Alligator mississippiensis: one gene and its partner. The protein of the gene in region 1 interacts with the protein of each later gene in a biochemical or structural test. Links are inferred from orthologs where the notes say so. Each region holds a gene or a part of one and is shown on either strand. Other genes may lie near its edges. The genes, in order: SORBS1 and FLOT1.

What was found.
Region 2: the proteins of SORBS1 (region 1) and FLOT1 form a complex in vitro, tested with the Homo sapiens proteins (2 studies listed by BioGRID). The link is inferred for Alligator mississippiensis from reciprocal best matches to the Homo sapiens genes SORBS1 and FLOT1.

The regions. Positions count from the first base shown.
Region 1 is NC_081829.1:24,745,192-24,753,938, forward strand, and holds the start of SORBS1 (sorbin and SH3 domain-containing protein 1), read right to left. Parts: upstream 3,688-8,747; 5' UTR 3,593-3,687; coding exon 3,561-3,592; intron 1-3,560. UniProt on the Homo sapiens protein: Plays a role in tyrosine phosphorylation of CBL by linking CBL to the insulin receptor. Required for insulin-stimulated glucose transport. Involved in formation of actin stress fibers and focal adhesions.
Region 2 is NC_081834.1:57,394,694-57,402,585, forward strand, and holds the start of FLOT1 (flotillin-1), read right to left. Parts: upstream 3,437-7,892; 5' UTR 3,328-3,436; intron 3,199-3,327; 5' UTR 3,182-3,198; coding exon 3,139-3,181; intron 2,659-3,138; coding exon 2,583-2,658; intron 2,417-2,582; coding exon 2,326-2,416; intron 1,164-2,325; coding exon 1,020-1,163; intron 763-1,019; coding exon 643-762; intron 1-642. Other genes in the region: IER3 (radiation-inducible immediate-early gene IEX-1), read right to left, coding at 6,317-6,577, 7,575-7,727. UniProt on the Homo sapiens protein: May act as a scaffolding protein within caveolar membranes, functionally participating in formation of caveolae or caveolae-like vesicles.

The DNA of each region.
Region 1 (8,747 bases):
ACCATGTCTCTATATAAATACAGACCTCCACATGCACCAGCCAACCATATCCTAAAATATCAGACAGACATTAAACAAAGAAAAAAGCACTTTGGGTTGGATCTTAGTAATATCTAGTTTATATATGGACTGACTTCCAAGACACGTACACACCTACCCACACCGAAAAAACAAAAACAAAAAACGATGCTACTGAGCCATGAGGTTTTGTTTCAACCCCAATCACATAGGATCCTAGAGCACTTTGCAAATTTACACTGATTTACAGTCTATATATGGGAACATACTACATCCACCTGAAATGCTGCCAACTTTGGGGTGGTATCAGCAAATGAGCACATAGCAACAATGCGCAGGTCAGGGTACCTAATCTTAGGGAGGCTGTGAGGAGAATGTAATAACTAGAATTTCAATATGGTCAGAATTAATAAGAGGAAATGAAGTTAATGACTCCAGGTTTAGTACACCCTGTTCCTTCAAAAAGTATCATGGGATCCACAATTACCATAGGTGTTTGGTAGAGCTACGTGAAGCTTTGGTAGCCAATTCAATCTGGAGGAGATTCGGCCCTATTCAGCAGCCAAATCCCTGAATCCAGATCAAATTGGGAGACTCATTAAACACTCCGAATTGAATCGGAAGCCTCCAAATGGATTCAGAAAGATTCGGAGAGATTCGGAGATTTGGCCATAGACTGTACAGGCAGGCACTAGGCAGTGCTGGCAAAAGCAACTGGGGGAACAACCGGATGAGCCCTGGCTTGAGCCAGCAGCCCCAGGAAAAGATGCAGCTTGTCCCCTGGCTGGCCCCCCACTAGGATGAGGCAGGGCTGGCAGCCCCAGGAGAAGCTGCAGGGGCTGGGGGGAATAAATGGGGAGCTCAGAGGAATGGTCAGTAGCTGGGGGACTGAACTGGGAGCTGGGGGGAAGCCTCTGTTTGTTCCCCCAGCCCCTAATCATTTCCCCTAGCTCCCCAATCATTCCCCCCAGGCCCCACAGCTTCTCCCAGGGCTGCCGGCTCAAGCTGTGGCTCGTCCGCTGCTCCCCCACTGGAGTGAGGCAGGCAGTGCTGCCAGCCCCAGGAGAAGCCACAGGGGTTGGGAGGAATGATCAGGGGCTGGGGGAACAAATAGGGGCTTCCCCACAGCTCCCAGTTTGATCTCCCAGCTCCCCAGTCATTTCCCCCAGCCCCTGTGGCTTGTCCCAGGGCAGCCAGCACTGCCTGCCTCATCCCACTGGGGGGGGTGGGGGAAGCAGTCAGACAAACCATGCCTTTTCCCGGGGCTGCCGGCTCAAGCCAGGGCTTGTCCGACTGCTCCCCCAGCCGCTCCTACTGGCACTGCCTGCCTGTATAGTCTATGGCTGAATAGGATTCGGTGCTGAATATCTTCGGATTTGGCCAAATCAAAATCAGGACAGTGATTCGAATCACCTAATCGAATCACTGTCCCTCCGAATTGCCAAATCCAAATCTGAAATGAATACTTTCCATTTTGCACAGGCCTAGTGTTATTGGTTTTACATTTCAGCTCAGAGAAAATATGTGAGCTGTATACAATGGATTCATTTGGCCCAAGTTGGTTGGAATACATGTGCAATTTAGAGACTCTTGTACTATGCTTATGGCAATAGGCACCTTGAATTTGGGGGAATTTCTGATTTTGCAGAACATCTGTTCCAAATGAATGGACACAATCATGGCTGCAAATTCCAGAAACCCCAATTATTTGCAGTACTAAAGCCATGGAGTCATGCAGCTGGCCACAGAATTTTGATGCAACTCTCCAGAGACACAGACACATAATAAACTGCCTGTTTTCTACCCTGAATGGCACCCTATAAACACAATAGATTAGATAATCCCAAAAGTATCCATCAATCTCCTCATGATGTAACTTTGTGCAGTAAAACAATGTTGAAGGCAGCTTTCAAGTTATACAGCTACTAACAAATGAAGCAGTAAATAAATCTGAGTAAAACCATTTGTCATTGTCAAAATGTTAAGAAGAGATTGGCCTAAACTATAAAATTTATATACAGATAAAAACTCCCTTAAAACATGAGTGGGGAGGTTAAGATTTGCAGTGAGATGCATGAATAAAGCAGCTCTTTAATAATACTGCTACCTAGATTTAAACAAGCGGTGTCTCTAAGAATAGGACGTCACTGCACTGCAACATCTGATGATACCAAGCTCCCTAACTGTCTAAGATATGGGGAACACATTTCTGATCATGCACTAATCCCTGGTATCTCTGATCATACACTGTGAAAACTGTTAGCTACTAGTACTGAGTTTTTTTAATTGGGGACCAGTGTTAACAATTCACGTTTTTCTTCAAAGCACTGCACACAAATGTTCACAAATTCAGCAGCACATAAGGTAGGCATGTAAGCAATAAGGCAGCATCGTACAGCGATGGGAGATGCAGGCCCCAATTTTTAACTGCAGCTAAAATCAACTAAACTGGTACAGGATTGAGGGGAAGATAGGAACCAAATTCTAAGGGAATAATCTGGTCCTTTCCAGCATAAGCTAAAGAATAAAAGCAAACTCTTGAGATGCATGTACAGCTGTAACAACCTGTTGCAAAAGCCAAGTTTAACTAATGCACAGGGGTAACTCTAGATGTGCTCTCCTCTTCTGGGTCACATACTCTTATGCCACGGACTGCACAGAGGAGGTGTAGTGTAGTGTAGTCACTCTGCTGGGTCTGTTCCCCCGGGGGGGCTGGTTGTGCTGGCTTTATAGCCAGTACGATTGGCACAAACTCTAGCTGAACACAAATGAGTGGCCACAGTGACATGCCCAAAGGCACACAGCATGACAGAAGCACATCTGGGAACAGAATCAGAAGTCCTGACTCTTAATCCTAGGCTTCGTCCACTGGACGATGCTGGCTCTGATGTCATTTACAGACTAAAATTAAGACTGTAATTGCTATGCATGCACCCAGCGCTAGAAAGGCCCTAGGAAGAATATTTCACGTATAGATTGATCTGAAATGTTAAAAGGCAGAGGCCAAATTTGACCTCACATTCAAAGTGCCTTCAGGAATAGCAAAGCATTACCCTCAAAAACCACTCTTTAAATGCCCATTCTCTTCATTTTTCTAGTTTAATACCCACACTAGTTGAATTGCCCAAAAGAATTAATAAAAGAAAGATAGGATTCAAAACATTTGAGCATAAGATGCAAAATAAAACGGGCAAAAGCCCAGATTTGTGCCTATCACTCCAAATTCAGTGACAAGCCAGTATTAAAACCAATACACAAATTTTGCAAACTCCCCTTTTCCCTGGTACTCTGGTAGAAAGGAAGAAGAAATGGAGGTCAGGACTTGCCCATCTCCAGGAATGCAGGGCAATGTGAAACCCTTTCAAAAATACATGGATAACTCCTTTCTTCTAACTGATAGATGATCTGCAAAGTAATGAGTGTCACCCCAGCTGGTGCAAGCTAACACTGCACTCATCCAAGGCCAGTACCACACAAAGGCCTGGGAGGGCAAAGCACCAGAGGCATTTTGCTAGTCAGAAATCAGACAGTAGCATCCTTACCTTGGATCAGGCTTTTCAGTTAAAGGTGCCATTTTCTGGCACCTACCCGGTTTAACCAGAGGTGAGACGTGAAAGGGTTAACAAAGGCTTGCTCTGTGTTGCTCTGCTGCTTGGCTCACTGAAGTGTAAGGAGAAGTTTGGGGAGGCCTCACCCTCCCTGGCACCCTTAAATACTTTGCTCCTCCCACCTCTCTGCTTTAATTAGCCGGCTGGCTCTTAGTCATGTCATTCTGTCACCAGGCTTGCTCACAATCAACCGCCTCCTCCCAGCCTGCCTTGCATTCCTTTGCCTCTGACATCATGCATACATGGACTATTCCAGCAGATCTGATGCCTGGGCGGATACAGCATGGGGAGGGGGTGGGGGCAGGAGGGGGATGGAAGGTAAATGAGGGACAGACCTTTACAAAAATAGTTGGTGAAGCACATGGAGACTGCCGTGCGTGGGGAGGGGAGGGGGCAGGCAGCGTCTGCCTGTCGACGAGAACATTTTCATTACATTTTCATTAGCATGTGTCTACGGGAGCCAGAGATCCTGTTTCAATGACTAGGATCAGAGGAGCTGGCTTGTGTTCCCACTATTGGCAGACTGAGGTCTGTAGTATAAATACTTGATACACAGAGAAATCATGTGCTTGAGAGAGAAAGAAAGGCTCAGCTCCATGGGGATTCCTGTGAAATATATCAGGCAGAGGGAGCCATAGAGTCTGAGCTCACATTGGGGTGTCTAGGGAAGAGAAGGGTCTTTAGAAGAGGCTGGCTGAGCCAGGATTCCTTCTGGAGGGAGACGCACGATAGAGAAGGAGCAGTGTCAGCCTTTGGAAGAGGGCAGTGAGTACCTGTCTTGCGACAGCCTTGATCTGCCAGGTACTGAGGCCAGAGGGTAGGGCCACACCCCTCTTCTCTCTGAGCAGCAACTCTTCAAGTGTATGCACACAGGCAACAAAGAGCCCAGGAGGGCTGTCTTCCTATAAGTGACTTCTCCAAGGCCACCCAGAAGATCAGTGTCAAGCCAAACCTGGCAAATACGCTATGCCAGACTATGCATTCCAGTCCAGTGGTTTTCAGCCACTGACTCAGGCACCAGTGCTAATACTGCAGAAGAGACTGTCAAGTCCTGGTCTCCAGTAAGCCTCTGCTGTTCCTGCTCATCTCCCATTCAACTGCATAGGGTCAAACCTGCTACCCAAGCCCCGGTTTTAGGATCTGGAGAAATTTGGAGTGCGCAGGTCACCACATAATACAGCGTACACAAACTATGAAAAGGCAAGTGTCTCACAAGAGCCTGATACAGAGATTGGCCAAGAAAGGAACAGAAATGCAGCGAGTTGCAGGCTGTATGCATAGGTACATATACAACACTGGGCCTGTTTGAAATCTAGAGCCAGTTTCACAGTAACTAAAGCCTATTTCTATTTTCCAACCCATCTTTTGGAATTCCAATACCAACCTCCAGTCAAATGCAGCATTAAAGTATCGTCAGGGACACCTAAAGTCCTGGTCTAATAAATTGATTCATATATTTGAAGAGGTTAGGAAGCAGTTTTGGTCTACCCACGTACTTAGAATTGATTGCACATCTGAAGGTCAGTGTATCAATGTACTAAATGTGCGTCATCAGTTATTGCCAGTGTTAAAGGGGATTCCAATCTCAAAAATTCATATCTGGTTTCAAATGTGCAAATGGCAGAAGAAACAGCTTAGAGCTGGAATTTTGAGTGGATTTGGCTCACTGTGAAATTTGGATCTGGGCTCGTACACAACTTGAGCTCCATGCATGTTGGGATTCAGAAGTTAATTTAGGCATATTTTACAGTCAATCTAAAGGATCATGGAAAACACTTGTGTTCTGAGTAGTCAGCCCCTGCTGTGGCCCCTCTACAAAACAAACCCAACTGCACCAACAAAAGCAGGAAGACTGACCAAAACGAACACACAGTTTCCAAAATAAATGGTGCATCTGCTGGCAGTTCTGATTAGATTAACTGCACACTGTTTACATGTCCCTACAAGATAGGAGATCCACCAGAAGATATCTTGGTCCTCTTGTCCAAGTCTGTTTCTGGTGCCTAACCACGTGAGAATGCCTGTCAGCTACAAGGCCTCTCTGCCTGCTGTGTACCAAGGGTTTGTAAACAAGCCTCTGACAGTTTGTTTTCAGGTAATAAAAATGAACACCATTAAAATGTCAAGAGAGTACTCTGTGTAAAAATAACAGCAAGAGGAGTCATGAGTGACACAGAGACTAGATAGAGAGGAGCCAGGGAGGCAAGGCTTGGATCCAGAGCCAAGGTTCAGAGGAGTTCAGATAACAGGTTAGGCTGGATTTGGATTTCCTTGGTGTAGGATTTGCAGGGCCTCAAGCTAAGAGGTAATGAACCAGGTCTTCTGAATCGGGTGGGACCCCCAAAAGGGGAGAGAAACTTAAGCTGTGTACATTTTTCATCTGGAGTGCTGCTACCATATGCATTAAAGGACCAGGGATAGTGGGCTATGAGCTACTAAGGTTACTGCACTAGTCCAAGAAGCCACACGCTCTGCTGTGTTTAAAACCACCCCTGAAGATGAGGCGCAAAGCTTTGGAACAATGGCAGACATCTTGCAACAAAGCTGCAATAATAAAAACTAACCCTGTGGTAGCTTCAATTTAAAGTCCACTGGTGTAATTAAAGCGTGGGACAGCACCTCACCTTCTTTAATGTTGTTTGCCTTCCTAACATCCCATGCAGTAGGGAAGTGTATTATTAATATTATTATTACACATGAGGAACAGAAAGTCAAAGGGCATGTCAATGTTGCTTCTGTAGTAGTCTTAAAAAGTACCACCCAGAACCATGGCATTTCACACACACCAGTCTCAAAATGAGGCAGAGCCAGACAGATCTTGACAGCAGTGCTACAGGGCAGCTTCACTGCCTCATTTCCAGGTTTGACCTGTGCAAAGCAAAAGCAGAGAAGTGGCGCATGCTCTTCAGTAGCATAAACATGCCAGGAGTGACAGAGACTTGCTCAGAAGTTGCACAGAAAATCTTTGGCAGGCCCAGGATTTGTGAATGAATGGGTTTTGCTTCTAGTTCCAAACCAGGCAGAAAAGTTCACTACAGGAATAGCACCCTTCATACCACGATTGCCTTAGACAGCTACTCATGCATGACTCCCCTCAGCTGTATCACAGTTTCTTGTGCATGTGGTCCCTCAGTGTCAATGAAGGTACCAGGTCATTGTTTCAGAAGAGGAATTACAGAGTTCTGTGCCACAGTGGGGGCTTGGGAAAAACTGGTTCCTGAGATCTCAGGAGAAGATGTACTTGGGAAGGGGCAAATTGGCTTCTTCAGCAGGAAAAGAAGGGGAGCTGGTCCCTGACACTTCCAAAGTAGTGTAGAATGCTGTAAATTCAGTTCTATTCCTTTTGAATTCTTGGGGTTAAATCTCAGTGTTAAATTCAGTTACAGATATTGCTTTTGCTCAACTTCCACACAATACTATAAATAAGCAGAGACTCATTCAGTTATCTGCAAACCTCAGCAAGCCTTGTTTGTGTTTCTAGCTGGTTACCAAAAATCCACATGCATTCTGATTTCAATGTTTCCCAGAGCCCAAAGAGCAATCAGGGATGAGCCCAAATGGACCTTGCTGCTCCAAACTCCTGGATCTCTAAGGTAGCTCAGAACTGAGACTGAATTTTGGAGCCTGGTACAGCAAAACCCAGTCATGTGATGCTCAGAATTCTAAGGCTGGCACCCTGATATATCTGGTAGGCAGCTTACTGTAAAAGCGGTATGGCCCAAGAGGCAACTGCAGCATAGCACTGTTTGTGTCTTGTTCAGGTAGTCACTAGATGCCAAGCTTTTCACTCGCTGTGAAGAGATGGCCTCTGCTAGCCCTCTTTAATATGTTCCTAACCCCCCACCAACCTCCTCCCAACCCCAGACTTGTTCTTAGAAGCAAGAACTCCTGCCCCTATATCTACTCAAGGCAACTATGCAGGGTCAGCAGAGGTCAAGAGGTAGGCAAGTGGCCTCTTTACAGTAATCTGACCATTAATCCAGCAGGAAACCTGTAACCAGCTGACCGTCTGTGGGAAAGGGGAGCATAGGTCAGAGATAAGCTGGCAAAAAAGGCTCTTCCCCAAGTGACAGGGAAGGGAAACACACTTGTTTAGTCTCCTGGCTGCAATCTAAGGACTGAAAGCAGCACCCACTTTAGGAACCCAGGCAGAGAAGTACTTTAAACGGGTTATGTTTCCTGAATAGACATGGTACCTCAGGGAAGACGACAAGAATAGAGACTTAGTTAAATGATGGTAAATCCCACTGAAAAGAATGGGTGCTACACCAACCACGAAATACCTGGGCCCAGGCCTGCTGCCAGCTCCCACAAGGAGCCTGATTCACCCTCTGGCACGCTGTACTGTATAGTGGTAGTAAAACACAGTAATTGGGACAAGGTCATCTCCACCACCACCACCTTGTACAAGTGCAGGGCAGGGGAGGATCAAACACGCTGTACCCAATAACTCCTGGATGGCAAGAGAACTCCGGCTCTGTTACCCTCCTATAAAAGAATAACAAACACTGACCTTTTATAAACAGGATTAGATAATGACAAGCCAGACTGTAGCCTTCTCTTGCCAGCCTGCACCTACTTCACATAGAATCCCACTCATTTCACATAAGGTAATGATCACCAGCAGTGTGATGGACTGGAAACGGCCCTTACGGCTAGGGACAGACATTCAAAAAGCCTGAGCCTGAACTGATTCAAACTTTGTAGGTTACTTTAACTTGGCTAAGCTTAACCGGTTTCCAACCATACAGATAATCTCTCTGCACTAAGGAAACTCAGGCACATGCCTGCAGTGGCTTAGGCTGGAGCCCTGCCCTTCCACAGAGCTAAACTGAGGCCCCAGCAGGGCTCTGATTAGGGAGGGGTGTAAACCCCCACCATGCCTACAGTCCCAGCCTTTTCCCTGCTCACTGCTCAAAGGGGACAAGTGTTGCCAGCCTGCACTCTGAGGCAAGTCAGGGTGTGCAGTGTATGCATCTGCTGATGATACAGAGCTTTTCACTTTCCCTCCCTGCTTCTATATACTGTCTGCAGCAAACTGACAGGCAAGCAAGCCTGGGTGAGTGGGGAGCTGATAACAGTATTTATTACCCTTATCTCAGTGTTTATTGCCCCATTAAG
Region 2 (7,892 bases), on another chromosome or scaffold:
GTCATTGTTGCAACTTGCAAGAAGGCTAGATGTTGTTTTATGAATCCAAATAAGAGATGTTCATTTAAGTAGAACAGCTACAGGGCCAAAGACACAAATGCATGCAGACAATTATGTCTGTTTTTTGCCTAGTTTGGTATGTTTTTTAAGCTTAATAGATAATCTAGCAAATAAGCACATATGGCATTAGTTATATTTGTTTCTACTTTGATTGGAACCTGAATGTTTGCCTACTTCGTTGCACTTCTTTTTAAACTTTATATATCATCTATCAGATTACTGCTAGGATCACATATAAACTAGTGCACACTCATAGAATCATAGAAAATTTGGGTTGGAAGGGACCTCAGGAGGACCTAGTTCACAACCCCCTGCTCATTCCAGGAGTTACATTTGTTTTTGCTTTGCTCCTACACTGAATTCTATAGCGCTGGCCCCTTAGCATATTCATGTAGCTTCTAGTTTCCCTTGGACAGAATAAAAATGTGTGTTGTATTCTAGCTGATGACGCACCATCTTAGCTGCCACCTCACTTTGCATTTCCAAATCCTAGATCTGCCCATGGACTTGCCCACAGGTCCCCTTCCTCCCCCGGGGGGGGGTGGGGGTGCGGCTGGGTGGACAAGCCCAGCTACCAAGTACCTGGTCATCATGGATGTCCTTGAGTGTGTAGCTGACCACGCTGATACCCATGTTCACCAGGTCAGAAGAGGCCACTTTGAAGACCTGCTCAGAGAACTTCTGTCGGTCCTTGTAGATCTCCTGGGTGAGGGGGGTCAGGGTGAGTCCTGAGGGGTGCCCCGATTTAAGACAGACAGATGGACACCTACCCAACCTCCTCCAGAGATGTGCAGACAGATGCACCCCCTGGCCCTCCCACCTAAGCTGGTCTTGGTCCCAGGGGCCCCTCCTTTCCCACAACCCCCCACGCAAGGAGGGACACATGGACACACACCTGATCTCCCCCCGACAGACGGACACCAGGGCAGACTGGGGGGCAGGGAGGGACCCGCACCCACCTCCACGGTCATGTGGGCCATGATGGCACGTTGATGCCCCTCCAGCGTTTCCAGTGCAATGTGGGTGATCTCACTCTCCGTCTTGCCCAGGAACATCTGGCAGGCGGCTGCCAGCATCTCCTTGTTCTGCCCCTGGATCTTCACCTGCGGCCCAGGGATGGAGCGGGGCAATCGAGGTCGGGCAGGGCAAGACCCAGCCCACTCGCAAAGGATGCTCTTGTGGGGGTAACTTCCCCTTTAAGAGGAAGAAGGGGCCACTTCTCTGGTTGCCAGGTGACAGCCAACAGGGGGAGGAATCTGGTGCCCTGGTACCCAGAGCTGGGAAGGAAGGTACCATGGGGGGGGGGAGGACATGGGAGGGGGTGCAGAAAGCACCATGAGGGGGAACTGGCCAGTACCACTTGGGGAGAAAGGGAGAAAGACCTGTCCTATACCACTGGGGGGTGGGGGTGGTAGGGTCAATGGGTGGTACCATGTGGAATGGAGGAAGGGGGGTGGGCAGTACCATGGGGGAATAGCAGGGAAATACCAATGTGGGGGGAAAATAGGGCAGCCCAGATGGTACCATTGTGGGAAACTGGGAGTGGGGGCTGGCTGGTACCATGAGAGGGAACAGCCAGTACCATTTGGGAGAAGAGAAGGACCTGGCCAGTACCACTAAGGGTAACTGGGGGGGGGGACAGAGTGGTGGAGGGAGTGGCCAGTACCATGAAGGAACATGCTGGGGGGTGTGCAGTACTATTTCAGGGAATGGGGTACTATGGGTGGTACCATTGTGGGACACTTTTGGGGAAAGATGACTGGTACCATGAGGGGGAAATGGACAGTACCACTTGAGGGGGGGAAGGAGAGAAGGACCTGGCCAGTACCACTGAGGGGACTGAACTGGGGGGAGGCAGTGGGTGGTACCATGGGGAGCATGGGGATGGGGAAAGTAGCCAGTGCCACATAGGGGAAAGCATAATGGGCCAGGGATAATGACCACAGGGGAATGAGCTGGGAGATGGGTTGGGGAGCACAGAAGTGAGTACCAATGGGGAGGGCAAGACGGCCAGTACCAAGGGGGGTGACAAGGAAGGGGGCCCAGTGGAAGGTACCACATGGGGGTAATGGGGGTGGGCTGAGGGAGAACTGCCAATACCACTGTCAGGAATGTGGAGGGGGGTCAGCAGGGGCAGTCCCATGGGGTATTGGGAGTAGGGGGTGGCTAGTACCATGGTGGGGGTGGGGGGAGGGTACTGGCCGTACCACTGAGGGAAGGGGGCAGGAGGGATCTCTCCCATCCCTATGGCGACCGGGGGGTTACCTGGGCGATGCCAGTGACAGAGATGGGGACCCCATGGCGGGTGTAGACCTTCTCGCTCTTCACGTTGAGGGTCAGCGTGTTCAGGGAGATCCTGCGAGGGTGGAGGCAGGGGGTCGGCAGAGGAGAGATTGCCCAATCCCTGGCACCCCTCCCCCCACTAGGGACCAGTTCAATGGGTCTTTCCAATTCAGCACCCCCCCAACCAAATCAATGGGCTCTAGACCCCCCCCCCGGAAGTACCCCTTCCTGGGACTCGCCTCTGGATCTGCTGTATGCAGGGCAGGACGAAGACCCGGCCCCCAGCCACCATCACAGGGGGGCTGCGGCAGAAGCCTGCGGCAAAGGGAGCAAAGGGTTAACAGCCACCTCGTGCCCAGATGCAGCTGGCTCTGGGGTGGGATAGTTGGGGACACCTACATAGATTGGCCCAAGGAGACCCCCAAGCTGGCAATGCAGCTAGCTCTGGGGTGGGACGGGAACAGCCACCCAGACCAGCCCAGGGAGCCCCCCTAGGCTGGGAAGCAGCAGCGTCTGAGGTGAAGCAGGTGGCAATGGCCACAAAGAATGGCTGAGAGGCTGGAGTTGCAGCTGGCTCTGGGGTGAAGCAGGAGACCACCACATATAACAGCATATGGAAGCAGCCAAGCTGGGATGCAACTGGTTCTAGGGTGGGGCAGGACAATGGCTGCACAGAACAGCCCAGGGACATCCCCCCTCCCCCCAATGCAGCTGGCTCTGGGGTAGGGCAGCTGGGGACAGCCACATAAAACAGCCCAGGGCCCGGGACGCAGCCGGCTCTGGGGTGCGACTCACCTGACACCACCATGGCCTCGTTGGGGCCGCAAGTGAAAAACATCGTGGCAGCAGCGGGGGCTGCGGGGAGAGACACAGGGGCATGGGACCCAGGCGGCCGGGCTCCCAGCCTCCCCACCCCTCCCCGAGAGCCCGGCGGATCGGGGGTCTCATCTGGCCGGTCACCGGGGCTCCCTCCCCCGCAATTACCCCGTGCCCGGGCCCGATCCCGATCCGCAGGCTCCTGCCGCCTTCCTGCCGCAGCCTCGCCCGGATCCGCCCCGCTCCCGGCAGCCCCCGCCCGAGCCCCTGCGGCGGCCTCCTGCTGCCGGGCGGGGGCTGCCCCCTGCTGGCGGCGGGGAGCGCTGCAGGGCCGGGCGGCGGGGGCGGGACGCTGCGGGGCGGGGGCGAGGGCCACCGGCTGGGCGGGGGAGGGGGAGGAGTCTAGGCCTAGAGCCCAGGAGGCCCCGCCCCCTTCTCCCGCCCCAGACAGCCCAAGTGCCCAGGCCCCGCCCCTCCCCACCCCGCCTGTTTCCCCAGCTCCATGGCAGGGCAGGGGTGGGTCCTGTGGTGCCCTTAGATGGAGAGCGGGGGGGTCCCCCCCCTTCCCACGGGCCTGGTGCCAGAAGCGGGGCCGGATGTGGCTGCGGGCACCGCTGGCGGCAGGTCCGGGAAGCCGGGCCCGGCCATGAACAAGAAGGGGGGAGGGGGGTGGCAAAGCAGCCTGGGAGGTGCCTATGCAGGGAACCCAGGCATCCGGGGCACACATGCATGCACGCACGCACGCACATACATGCCTCTGGGACCCGCACACAGAACGCAGGCGTCCAGCGCACAAACACGCACAGAACCCAGGTGTGTTGTGCACACACAATGAACCCAGGCACCCAGGAAACACATGCATGTGCCCATGCACATGCATGGAGTCCACGCTTCAACCCCCACCCCCCCCCACACACACACCCCACCCCCCCATCAGGCAGGAGAGATCTGTCTGCGGGACTGAGCAGGACATTTCAGTTCAACACCCCCAATCCCCCCTCAGCCCCGCAACTCCCAGAGAACCCAGGAGTCCCGCCCCTGCTCCCCACCTCCAGCTAGGCAAGGATGCCGTGTTCTCTGTGCAGAAAATAGCCCCTTATCAACACCGCCAAGGGCAGGGCCCAGCCGTGGCCTTGGCCAGGAATAGCTCTGAGAAAGTGGGATGGACAGATAGATTGAGATGGGGGTGGTCTTGGATGGACAGATGGACTCCTGGACTGGGCCGGGGGGGGAAATCAGGAGAGTGGGGTAAGGGGGAAGGAAGGAAAGAGACCGGGTGACAGATGGAGTGTGCATGGGGTGGGGAGGTACAGCATGGAGAGAGAGGGAAGGAAGGAAGGGACTACCGGGGATGGATGGAGGGGACTGGTGGCAGGGGGTGAATGTGTTGTGCCAGGAAGGAAGGAAGGAAGAGGATGTGGGGGTGGAGCAACGGATAGGCAGATGAAAGGAGATGTAGGTGGACAAATGAATCAGTGGGTGGATGGAGAGGTCCTGTGGGCATGGAGTGAGGGAAGAAGATGCAGGCATAGAACAATAGATGGAAAGGGAGAGGCAACAGGTGCAGGGAGCATGCGGTGGAGGGAAGGGAGGAGGTGCAGGGGGCAGTGGATGTGAGGACCCAATGGATGGAGGTGGGTGGATGGAGATGGGACTTCCCCATGGGTGCTGGGTCTGCCTATGACTACACAGCTCTGAGAACAGTGGTTGAGAAATCACCCCCACACCAGCCAGTACAGGGCAGCTTAGTCACAGGCCCACATGCGGGTAGGCAGCTTCACACCATGGCAGTGCATTACCCCCCCTCCCCCCCCAATCAGGTTCAAGGTCACTGGGATCAACTCTGATGTCATTGCTGGAGAGGACACAACTCCAGTCAAATAGCAGGATCCAGGCACTCGTCCCCTCGTCCCCGCTCTCATCCCCCATGCCCTGGGAACAGACACCCGGGCACCAGGCCCCACATACTCCTCACAAAGCTGAGCCAACCTGCTGCTCTGTTTTTTTTCTTCTGGTGCCCGCCCCCCCCCCCCCCCCCAAAAAAAATCACCCAGCCTTCTTTTTGGGGAGGTGGATTGGCCAGACAGTAGCCAATCCACTCCCCCACCTTCCCATCCTGCTCCTCCACTTTTAACACCCCTCCCCTCCCCCCACAGCTAAATTTGTCAGCAACTCTTGGATATCCAGCCAAAAGCTGAAGCCTTACATGCTGTGGGAAAATCCACTCTATGGGCCAACCTCATATTTCAAAAGCATTACTAGAAGACAGTCCTCAGGGTTGTGAAATAAGAGGAACTGGGGTGGGGGGGAGGGGGGAGAAGAGGGATGCAAATGGATCATCAAGATATGCTTACTTAGCAGCACATCAAGGTAATTAAGACATAAGGGGAGAGAGGGCTGTTAACACCTAGAGGAAAGAGGTTAGCAGGAGTCTAGTCAATTTTGCTGGGGAGCTGAATAGGAGTGCTACTGCTGCTCTTTTTGGGCAGCAAAAAAAAAAAAAAAAAAAAAAATCAGCTTCCCTCACTGAAGAGGGACACCTCAATAAGGGAAAGCCAATTCCTTTTTCCATGGTGGGGGCGTGTCAATACCTTAACTCATCTTCCCACTCTAACCCAACCCACCAGACTACCAGGAAGGCTCCACAACCACCCGATTGGCCAATCCTTTCCCTTCCCTCCTCCAAGACACCCAACAGGCATTGAGCTTTGCCCCTCCATGGGGTATCTTGGGGGTGGGGGGCATCTGACTCTTACCACTCCAATGACCCCCGACACAGGACAAGACAGGTCCCACAACATGTCACAGGCATGACTAGTCACATGGTTTTTATTCAGTTCCTTTAAGTTATCAAGAGACCCCTCCATAAATACACCATTATTACAATAAATATAATTTAAATAATTAATAACAATAACAATATTAAATAAATATTAATATTAATATTAATCATCCCAACACTGTCCACCAGCGACCCGCGCCGGGCCTGAATGTCAGTCTTCCCTGCTCTGGAGGCTTCAAGTTGCAGCTGACACTGGGTCCTTCAGAAGCAGCAGCTCCTAACGAGGCAGGGTTAACCCCTTAGCAGCCAGGGCCTGGAACCCCCTTGGGTGCCAGGCTGTCCCCCACAATCCCCTCACCAAGGCGGGCCAGGCCTTCAGAAGGCAGCTGGGTTGCAGGCCAGGAACTGGGAGATGTCTACAGTGGGGTCGTGGGGGCGGCAGGACCACGGCACAGCACTGGCAGGAGCCAGGGGATCTTCGTGGATGGGGGGGTCATACAAGGCCCCTCCGACCTCGCTGGGGCCCATGGGGAGGTCTTCATCGGCGCTGTAGATCTGGAAGAAGAGGATGGCCAAAAGCACGACCAGCAGGCGCTTGGCGAAGCAGCGCTCCTCCGGTGGGTAGTATCGCTTCACCTGGGAGGAAAGAGGAGAGAGCCACCAGGTTACTCACAATGTACTGCCACAAGGCTCACAAGGCACCCCAAATGCCTCACGTTACCCAGATTGCCTCATGCCCAGGCAAGAATACCTCATAACCAACCCAGTGATGGGACCGGCACCTACTGGTGCCACGGAGACTGCCTTGTGCCTCATAGCCCCAATCCCCGGCACCTTTACCCAGAATGCCCTGCACCTATGACAACCCAGAATGCCTTGTGCCAGCCCCAGCATGTCTCATGCTGCAGCAGGCCAGGAATGCCTCCTAAGCCATATCACTAGCACGTTACCCACAATGCTTTGCACCCAGCTAGGAGCCCCCTCAGGCCCCAGCCGAGGGACATTACCCAGAATGCCTGGCTCCCACCAGACTCCAAGCTCAGCACGGCCATTACCCAGAATGCTTCGCCCCCAACCTGGCCTGGCCCCACAGCACAGAAGGAGACTCCAGCTGTGCCCGGCCTATCGCGTGTCCTGTGCCCCACACTGCTTCCTAAGGGGCGAGTCACCAGCCCAGGCCACGTGCTGCCCCGTCATCTGGCCGGGCCAGGGCAGCAGTGGGGATTGGGGAGCCCAGGCGCTGGAGCCCCGGGGCAGGCTGGGATAAGCAGCAGCAGGTTGGAGCCGAGTCACCGGGGCCGAGTCACAGCCGGGGAGGGCGAAGGGGCGTCTCTGCTGCTCCTCCGCCTGCACTGGGGAAACTGAGGCACGGGGGTCCTGGCACGGGGCAAGACCCCCCAGAACCAGGAGCCCGGGCCCCGCCTCGAGTCCCCCACGGCCTCCCCGGCCAGGCCCTGCTGGGAGCCGGCCGTGCCCCCCCGGGGACCCAGGGGTCCTGCTGGCCCGGCTCCCCCCTTCCTCCAGGGACCCAGGCGTCCTGCCCCGCAGCGATCCCCATCTCCCCAGGCGTCCTCCCCACACCCCATCGTCCCAGCCACCCCCATCCCCCGCCGTCCTCGAAGCGCGGGCTCACCACGGGCGGGTAGAGCACGCGCGGGGCGCGGCGGCGGGGCCGAGGCCGAGGCCAGGGCCGGGCCCGGGGCTCGGGCAGCGGGTCGAAGGTGAAGCAGGGCGCGGGGCGCGGGGTGCGCGCGCAGCAGACACGTGAGCTGTAGAGTGCTGCCATCGGAAATGGACACCGCCGCTCTCCGGCCCGCTTATATGCGCCTGCCCGCCCCGCCCATTGGCTGCCGCCGCCCGGCCCCGGCGTCCCATTGGCTGTGCTGCGCCGCGCCGCGCCGGGGGCGGGGCTGGGGGGCCGGCCGGGAAAATCCCGGGTGGAAGAGCTGAG